Danio rerio: one gene and its partner. The protein of the gene in region 2 interacts with the protein of the main gene of each other region in a pairwise test. Links are inferred from orthologs where the notes say so. Each region holds a gene or a part of one and is shown on either strand. Other genes may lie near its edges. The genes, in order: aggf1 and mab21l3.

Region 1 (4,578 bases), on a different chromosome or scaffold from region 2:
CTAGCAACCACCTAGCAACGGCCTAGTAATGCCTTAATAAGGGCCTAGTGACCACTCAGGACACCCTAGCAACCGCCTAGCAACGCCTTAGCAACCACTCAGAATACCTTAGCAACCACCTAGCAACACCTTAGCAACCACCAAGCAACCACTTGGGACACCTTAGCAACCGCCTAGCAACACCTTAGCAACCACCTAGCAACCAGTCAGAACACCCTAGCAACCGCCTAGCAACGCCTTAGCAACCACCAAGCAACCACTCAGGACACCCTAGCAACCACCTAGCAACACCTTAGCAACCACCTAGCAACCACTCAGGACACCATAGCAACCGCCTAGCAACGCCTTAGCAACCACTCAGAATACCCTAGCAACCACCTAGCAACACCTTAGCAACCGCTTAGCAACCACTTAGGACTCCTTAGCAACCACCTAGCAACACCTTAGCAACCACCTAGCAACCACTCAGAACACCCTAGCAACCACCAAGCAACACCTTAGCAACAACCTAGCAACCACTTAGAACACCCTAGCAACCGCCTAGCAACACCTTAGCAACCACTCAGAACACCCTAGCAACCACCTAGCAACATCTTATCAACCACTCAGAACACCCTATTAACCGCCTAGCAATGCCTTAGCAACCACCTAGCAACCACTCAGAACACCATAGCAACCACCTAGCAACAGCCTAGCAACCGCCTAGCAACATCTTAGCAACCACCTAGCAACCACTCAGGACACCCTAGCAACTGCCTAGCAACGACTTAGCAACCACTCAGAATACCCTAGCAACCACCTAAGCATGCTATGTGACATGCTAATTCATACTAGAATCATGCTAGTAACATGCTAATTCATACTAGAATCATGCTAATAACATGCTAATTCATACTAGAATCATGCTAGTAACATGCTAATGAATGTCAGAATCATGCTAATAACATGCTAATTCACGCTAGAATCATGCTAGTAACATGCTAATTCATACTATAATCATGCTAATAACATGCTAATTCATGCTAGAATCATGCGAGTAACATGCTAATTCATGCTAGAATCATTCTAGTAACATGCTAATTCATACTAGAATCATGCTAATTCATGCTAAAATCATGCTAATAACCTGCTAATTCATACTAGAATCATGCTAGCAGTATGCTAATTCATACTAGAATCATGCTAGTGACATGCTAATTTATTCTAGAATCATGCTAGTAACATGCTAATTCATGCTAGAAGCATGCTAATAACATGCTAATTTATACTAGAATCATGCTAATAAAATGCTAATTTATACTACACTCATGCTAAAAACATAATAATCCATGCTAGAATCATGCTAATGCATGCTAGAATCATGCTAATAACATGCTACTTATACTTTTTCAAACTTTGAAAAAACTTTTTCAAACATGCTAATTTATACTAGAATCATGCTAATAAAATGCTAATTTGTACTACACTCATGCTAATAACATGCTAATCCATGCTAATCCATGCTAGAAACATGCTAATGCATGCTAGAATCATGCTAATAACATGCTACTTATACTTTTTCAAACTGTTTTTAAACTAAACAAACTATTACCAACAGGCTTTGTCAAGCCAGCCTCAAAGTTTGTCTCGACGAACTTTACTGTCTAGTTATATTATATAGTCTAAATTTACATTTAGGTTTATATACGATGTTTTACGCATTTCAAAATTGCAATTATATTTTTTCAGTTATATATATATATATATATATATATATATATATAATTGTATATAATATCAGTTAAATATAATGCATTTCTTTACTTTTTTATATAATATAGGAATAAATAATAATTATATACAAAATATAATACAATTAATATGTATTATAATATATATTAATTATTATCCAGTCAATTACAATTACATTTTGGGGCCTTAAAAACTATTGTGGACGTTTGGGGACCTTGAAGTACGGCATAAACATAACTTATTTATTAAACTATTTGTATGTTTGTAGAGAATCAGCAATGTGCAAACAACATTTAGATAGCTTTTATTGTTTTATGTCTCAATAATAACAGGTCAGAATAAGTGTGTTTTTTTCATTTTAAGCTACGGTTAAGCTGAATGATGATTATAATTCTCCCTAAAATCTGTAGAAATATTAAATTCTATGAATAATTCTTGTATTTTATATTAAATGTCATGCAGCCATAAAAAACAGGATGTCTTATATCAATATGAGACATACAGTTGTGCTTACATTTTAGAAAATGAGTTTAACAGGTCAGAATAAGTGTGTTAACACTTGTATTTAATGTGCTCTCTATGTAATTTATTAATTCTTGTAATTTAAATTTAATTTCATGCAGACATCAAAACATATTAATTTCACACTTACGGCAGAACTTATATTTTATAAAATGGTTTTCTAGCAATCACATAACAAAATTTAAGCACCAAAAACCTAAAAATGAATTAGCTCAACCAATGTTTGACGTTTACCTTAAATATGCATATATGCAAATAATCCACCAGAACCAAACAAAAACAAAGCACACCCCTCTAAACAACAGCTATAACGAACTAAACAACACATCTAAACATAATATACAATAGGAATAGTTTAATAAATAGTTATATTATGCTATGTATTAGCAAACCTTTGAGTTTTAAAGCACACTATCCTCACCGGTTTAAACCACCCGTTTTCCGTGCGCGTTCCCGGCTTCCCTGCGCGCGCATCAATCTGCAAATCAAAGATAAACAGCAAATGACCAGCGGGAATTCGACACATATTCGTGTAGAAGTTTGTGTGACCGTAAAGTGCGTTACAGGGAGCAACCGCGATGAACTTTAGTCCAGCTTCAATGGATGCCGCCATACTTTCACTTTGTAGCGTCACATCTCGCTTAAGCTGCGTCACTTCCGCTTTTTACCACAGAGGAGACAGCGCCTCTCGCGTAGAACACAGTCAAATACACTGTTGTTAAATTTCTGCATGCCTGTCATCTATCTATCTATCTATCTATCTATCTATCTATCTATCTATCTATCTATCTATCTATCTATCTATCTATCTATCTATCTATCTATCTATCTATCTATCTATCTATCTATCTATCTATCTATCTATCTATCTATCTATCTATCCGTCCGTCCGTCCGTCCGTCCATCCATCCATCCATCCATCCATCTATGTAATATTTGATAACGTCTATAATGTAATAATGTTTTATAATGTAATAACGTTTTAGAGTGTAGATTTTTGCCAATAATTAAATAAATAAAATAACAAAAAATCTGACAAAATAATTATTGCATAATAATTAAATACAATACACATAATACATTATATAACATTATATCATTTGCAGGATTATAGTCTGTTATATATATATATATATATATATATATATATATATATATATATATACATATATATATACATATATATATATATATATATATATATATATATATATATATATATATATATATATATATATATATATATATATATATATATATATAATACTAATACAATAAGGAATAAATAGTTTTTATCTAATTTTCTCATTTTGATGGTTATTTTGTCTTATATTAAATCCTTTAACATCATCTGAAAAGCCAGAGTCCACCTGTTTTTACAACATTCTGCAATATTTAAGGTTAATTTGACCATTATTTTCAATGGGATTGCACTTTGCTGAATTATACTGTTTACATTTTATTCAGTTTTGCCTAACAGTTTCATTTTTAGGTCATGCTTTTATTGCCAAATTCTATTTGAATAATGCTGTAATATTATGGCTAATATATGTTACCCATAATTTAGACCTTTAAAAAAAAAAATGTTTTAATATTATTTTCAGCTGTCAGGAAGCTGAACTCTCTCCCTCCCAATGCACCTTTGGACTGTGACACACACACACACACACACACACACACACACACACACACACACACACACACACAAACTCATACATCTGCATCGTGTCTCAGCATCTAAATATTGTTGCTTTTCTGTTGATGTGACTCCACCAATTGGAAGTCACTTTGGAGAACAGCATCTAAATAAATTCACATGTAATGGCATCAAACAAGTTGTGCATTGCAAATTTAGATTATAATTTTAAAATAATTTTAAATAATAATAATAATAATAATAATAATAATAATAATAATAACAATGTTCACCATCTGTTAAAAAACTTACAGGCCACTTTCCAATTGTCCTTCTTTTACATCCCAAGATGCCTTTATTCAAAGTTATTTTCATTAACTTAATAAAACATAAAAAGTTTTCAAAAAAGAAAGAAAGAATAAAAAGCGTGCTGGGTGGAAAAATGTCAATACATTTAAGTTGATAAACTAATTTCTCTTGATATGGATTCATCTAACGATGCACAAATTATTATGCCAATAAATGATTTGCTGCATCAGGCATTTAAAAGCAAGAAACAGCAAGTTCCTGAAGGTGTTTTCTTAATATTCATTTTTTCAAAGAACCTCACAGTGAATTGTTCTTGAAACCATTTGTTTCTTAGTATTGAGACAGTTTTAACAATCTAAAGAAGAAGCTTTTGTGGAATG
Region 2 (4,463 bases):
AGAATTATTAGCTCCCTTTTGATTTTTTTTTTCTTTTTTAAATATTGCCCAAATTATGTCAAAGAGAGCAAGGAAATTTTTACAGCATGTCTGATAATATTTTTTCTTCTGGAGAAAGTCTTATTTGTTTTATTTCGGCTAGAATAAAAGCAGTTATTAATTTTTTTAACACAATTTATGAGACAAGATTATTAGCCCCTTTAAGCAATTTTTTTTTCTCGATAATCTACAGAACAAACCACCGTTATACAATAACTTGCCTAATTCCCCTAACCTGCCTAGTTCACCTTATTACCCTAGTTAAGCCTTTAAATGTCACTTTAAGCTGTATAGAAGGGTCTTAAAAAATATCTAGTAAAATATTATTTACTGTCATCATGGCAAAGATAAAATAAATCAGTTATTAGAAATAAGTTTTTAAAACTATTATGCTTAGAAATGTGCTGAAACAATCTTCTCTCCATTAAACAGAAATTGGGGAAAAAAATAAACAGGGGCGCTAATAATTCAGGGGGGCTAATAATTCTGACTTCAACTGTATATGGTGTATATGGTGTATAAAACAAACAGAAGATTAAATGTTGTGCTACTTATGGAATCTATAATATGAAAAGATATTATAAGAGGATAACAAAACAAAAATAAAAGGTTAATAAATAAATAAATCTGTTATCCAGTTATCAACAGAACATATATCGAGACATCAAATTAAATCAAGCATATTAATATTCTGTTTGTGACTAGAATATCATTAGTGTATAGAGATTTTTCATTATTCACCAGCATTTACACACAGATTAAACAAATATTAAAACTCTAACTTGTCAGTCCGCGGGTCTTTATAGACGTCTCCAGAAGATCTTTGAAGACGTTCACCACCTTGGCTGGCACAATGTCACCTTCGATGGTCATGCGGGCATCGTGCCACTCCTGACTCGGGTTGACAAAACTCTCCAGCTCAAGCCATTGGTGGAGCTTCTCCGGCTCACGAACAGGTGAGAGGAGACGAGAGCCAGTCAGTGTATAATAACGCCACTGACGTGTCCGTCTCTCTTTATAGCCCATCAGGCCCTGCAGAGGCACTGAGATCAGGTACAGGGTTGGAGAGAGGACCTGCACAAGTCACCCAAAAAAAACATCAAACTAATCAGTACATCTATTCTGTTTATCTACTGTATAATATAAGCTTTTCTTACTCTGACTTTTTGTCTTTTGTCTAGTCCAAAAATATTAAAATATAATTTTCTAGACCTGGGGTGCCACTGTAAAAACCTTTAGAATATAGATCTGAATCAAACAGTGCACTCTGGCCTATGTAAATGCTGCAAAAGTACCGCAGCAAAAGTATTTGTAGCTGCATGCATGTTACATAATAACACCAGTTAAAGTTTACAACAGTAAATAGGAAAAGTACAATTTTGACACCATTTACTTGTTTCAAACCTGTATGTCCTTCATTCTTCTGCGGTACATTAAAGAAGATATTTTAAAGAATGTCCAATGATAATGGTGCCAAAATTGGTTCAGCTCCCCATTGACTTACCTAGTAATTTTAATTATAGAATTTAAATGTTGGGGTTGATCTATACCTTTTTAATAAATACTACTGCTTACTTGTATGGCAGGGTTGTATGCACATCTCCCTCTGAGTAATGCAGACCATTTTGACATTAAAGCAGGCTGGTCCTGAATTAGATTGTGGACACAAGAAAAAACATGATGTTATAAATCCAGCATTATAATGCAGTTAGTATTTTTTATATAGATGAGGCCTATGTGAAGCATTACTTTGAGGCTGGCGTTATGAACTCCAGCATTTGCGATGGACTGGAAGCGAGCGTCTTTTGAGCTGACCTCCGTAGTAAGATCTTTGATGATTTTCTGCACATCTTCGACACACTTTGAAACCTGCCGATGTCTGAGATCCACCTGACGATACATTTAACATCAGAAACAGCAGAATAAACCAAAAAAGGAATGTTTTTTTTATTTTTATTGAATCTATCTGAAATACTACACTAAACTCAAATAAAATGAAACTAAATAAAAAGAAATCCTCTAGCTATTTGTTTATTATTTTTATTTTATTAACACAAATTTTAAATAAAAAATAAAGAAAATAAACAAGAAATAAAAACATTACACCACTAAGACAGCATAATAAACAAAATAAAATAAAATAAAACAAGTTATGCAACTACAAATAAAATAAAATAAAAATATTTTATTACCATACAAAAATAAAATAAAACAAGAAATGAGGAATAAAAAGAATAAAGAATTAAACATATTTTCATCTGACTACAAATAAATAATTGAATAAATAAATAAAATAAATTAATTAAATTAATAAATAATAAATAAAAAATAAACAAATAAATAAATGCTATGCAGCCTGTGTTAAGAAAAACTGGATAGTCTAACAACAAATAGATATTTAAGTAAATAACAACAACAAAAAAAACTAACAAACATGTCAATTATGAAGACTATGGTAAGATGTAAAGATTGTGAGTAGTACAGCATATTCGCATATAAAACATTTAAGCTAAAAACAAGACAATAACACATTCGATTAGAGCAGAACAAACACTGAATAAAATAATTTTTAAAAACTCTAAAAATAAGCCATCTAAAATTATTATTGTTTAATTAAAACACCAAATGAAATGGTTATAATAAAAACTAATAACACATTAACAGTTTAGTTTAGATCTCGGTGCTCAATAAAACCAATGACAGCATAAGTAGGTCACCTGATTTAGCAAATAGTTATCCAGATCTTCATCTGTGCAGTTGGTCATGTTGTAGTCTACGCTTACAATAAGCTCTTTTCAGATGCTATTTTAAGTCTTCTTTTCAGCAGCAGAGCTTAATGTTGTGTCTTTGTGGCCTTTTTTGCAATTCTTTTGTGTCCCTGTGTACGTGCAACACAAATCGCACAAGGGAAAAGCACTTCAGCAGAGCCATTGATTTCACAATATTGATTCCCGAGATGCTAAAAAGCTTGTATGTTCCTCTGGGCAAATTAGTTCACCAATTGCTTACTCACATGACCGATCACACTCATTTGAATATAAACATTTGGTTTTAATCCAGCAGACTGCGCCATATGCTGATTATAAACACGCAACTGGATCACAATTGTTGTTGTTAATGTTGTTTATCAACTTACGTGAGTTGGAATTTATTGAATTAAAGTATGCTAAATTTAACAAAAAAAAAAAAGCATTAAAAAGAGGCCATTATAAAGGCTATATAATGTAAAACTACACCAAGCCTCTGGATTCTCATACTTCACATACTAAAATAACATGAACAAAAATATGCATGTATTGTAAACAATATATATCAACAATGAGAGCAACTGTGGGACAAATCAAATATTAAGAAATAATCAAATGCTTAAAAATAATATACAATAACTTGCCGGCTTAATTTTTCAGTTTGGAGCCCTCTGTAGCCTAAGTCAAAAACTCATTGACCACTATACCAATTGTGGATGAATTGGATGACCTTACATGGTTCAATTCAGTACAGATCAGGTGATGATGATATGAAAAAAACCCTGTCACAATCACTTGCACTACAGCCTTTAACATACATTGACTGTCTGTGGTGAAGATAAAGTGAACAAATGTCTAAATAAATAAACAAACTAAATGTTATATAGGTATTGGAAGTGGAACTTACAGCACAGTATAGTCATAATCAATAAAGAAATGTCTGATTGAATGAATGAACTAATTATTAAATAAAGGAAATGTTTTGTCAATAATGGAAAATACGGTAATGTTTTATTGTAGGCAGAGAATTATAAACACTTAATAGAGTTTGAAGGTTGTATAACAAAATAATAAAAAATATATTATTATGGAATTTACTGTGAGACATTAAAGGGGTAGTTCACCCAAAAATGAAAATTACCTCACCCTTTACTCTCCCTCCCCTGTGGTTTTATGAGATTATTTTCTGTTGACCAAGAAGATATTTTGAAGAATGTTGGTTGCTGGCACACGTTGACTCCTATAGTAGGAAAACAAAAATAACTAATGAAGTAACAGAATATCTTATTTTGTGTTTAACAGAAGAAAGAAACCTTTGGTTTGGAACTAGTAAATATGAGTAAATGATGACAAAATTGTAACTTTTGGCTGAGCTATTCCTTAAAGATTGCAGCGTGTGTAACAAGATCAGGCAACAAGGCAACAAAACACACAGTCATTTAACAAACCAATCAATACATATTTTATATGAAATCTAGCCTAGTCAAAATTACGGCTGTTCAGACAGACAGACAGACAGACAGACAGACAGACAGACAGACAGACAGACAGACAGACAGACAGACAGACAGACAGACAGACAGACAGACAGACAGACAGACAGATAGATAGATAGATAGATAGATAGATAGATAGATAGATAGATAGATAGATAGATAGATAGATCTAACCTATAGA

Evidence for each region.
Region 1: the proteins of mab21l3 (region 2) and aggf1 interact in binary tests that used the Homo sapiens proteins (3 or more experiments, as listed by UniProt). The two-hybrid records come from large-scale screens. The link is inferred for Danio rerio from reciprocal best matches to the Homo sapiens genes MAB21L3 and AGGF1.

Annotation. Positions count from the first base shown.
Region 1 is NC_133196.1:9,136,861-9,141,438, forward strand, and holds the start of aggf1 (angiogenic factor with G patch and FHA domains 1), read right to left. Parts: upstream 2,893-4,578; 5' UTR 2,818-2,892; intron 2,732-2,817; 5' UTR 2,728-2,731; coding exon 2,675-2,727; intron 1-2,674. UniProt on the Homo sapiens protein: Promotes angiogenesis and the proliferation of endothelial cells. Able to bind to endothelial cells and promote cell proliferation, suggesting that it may act in an autocrine fashion.
Region 2 is NC_133184.1:37,578,046-37,582,508, reverse strand, and holds the start of mab21l3 (protein mab-21-like 3), read right to left. Parts: upstream 2,942-4,463; 5' UTR 2,805-2,941; coding exon 2,757-2,804; intron 1,930-2,756; coding exon 1,789-1,929; intron 1,687-1,788; coding exon 1,615-1,686; intron 1,114-1,614; coding exon 822-1,113; intron 1-821.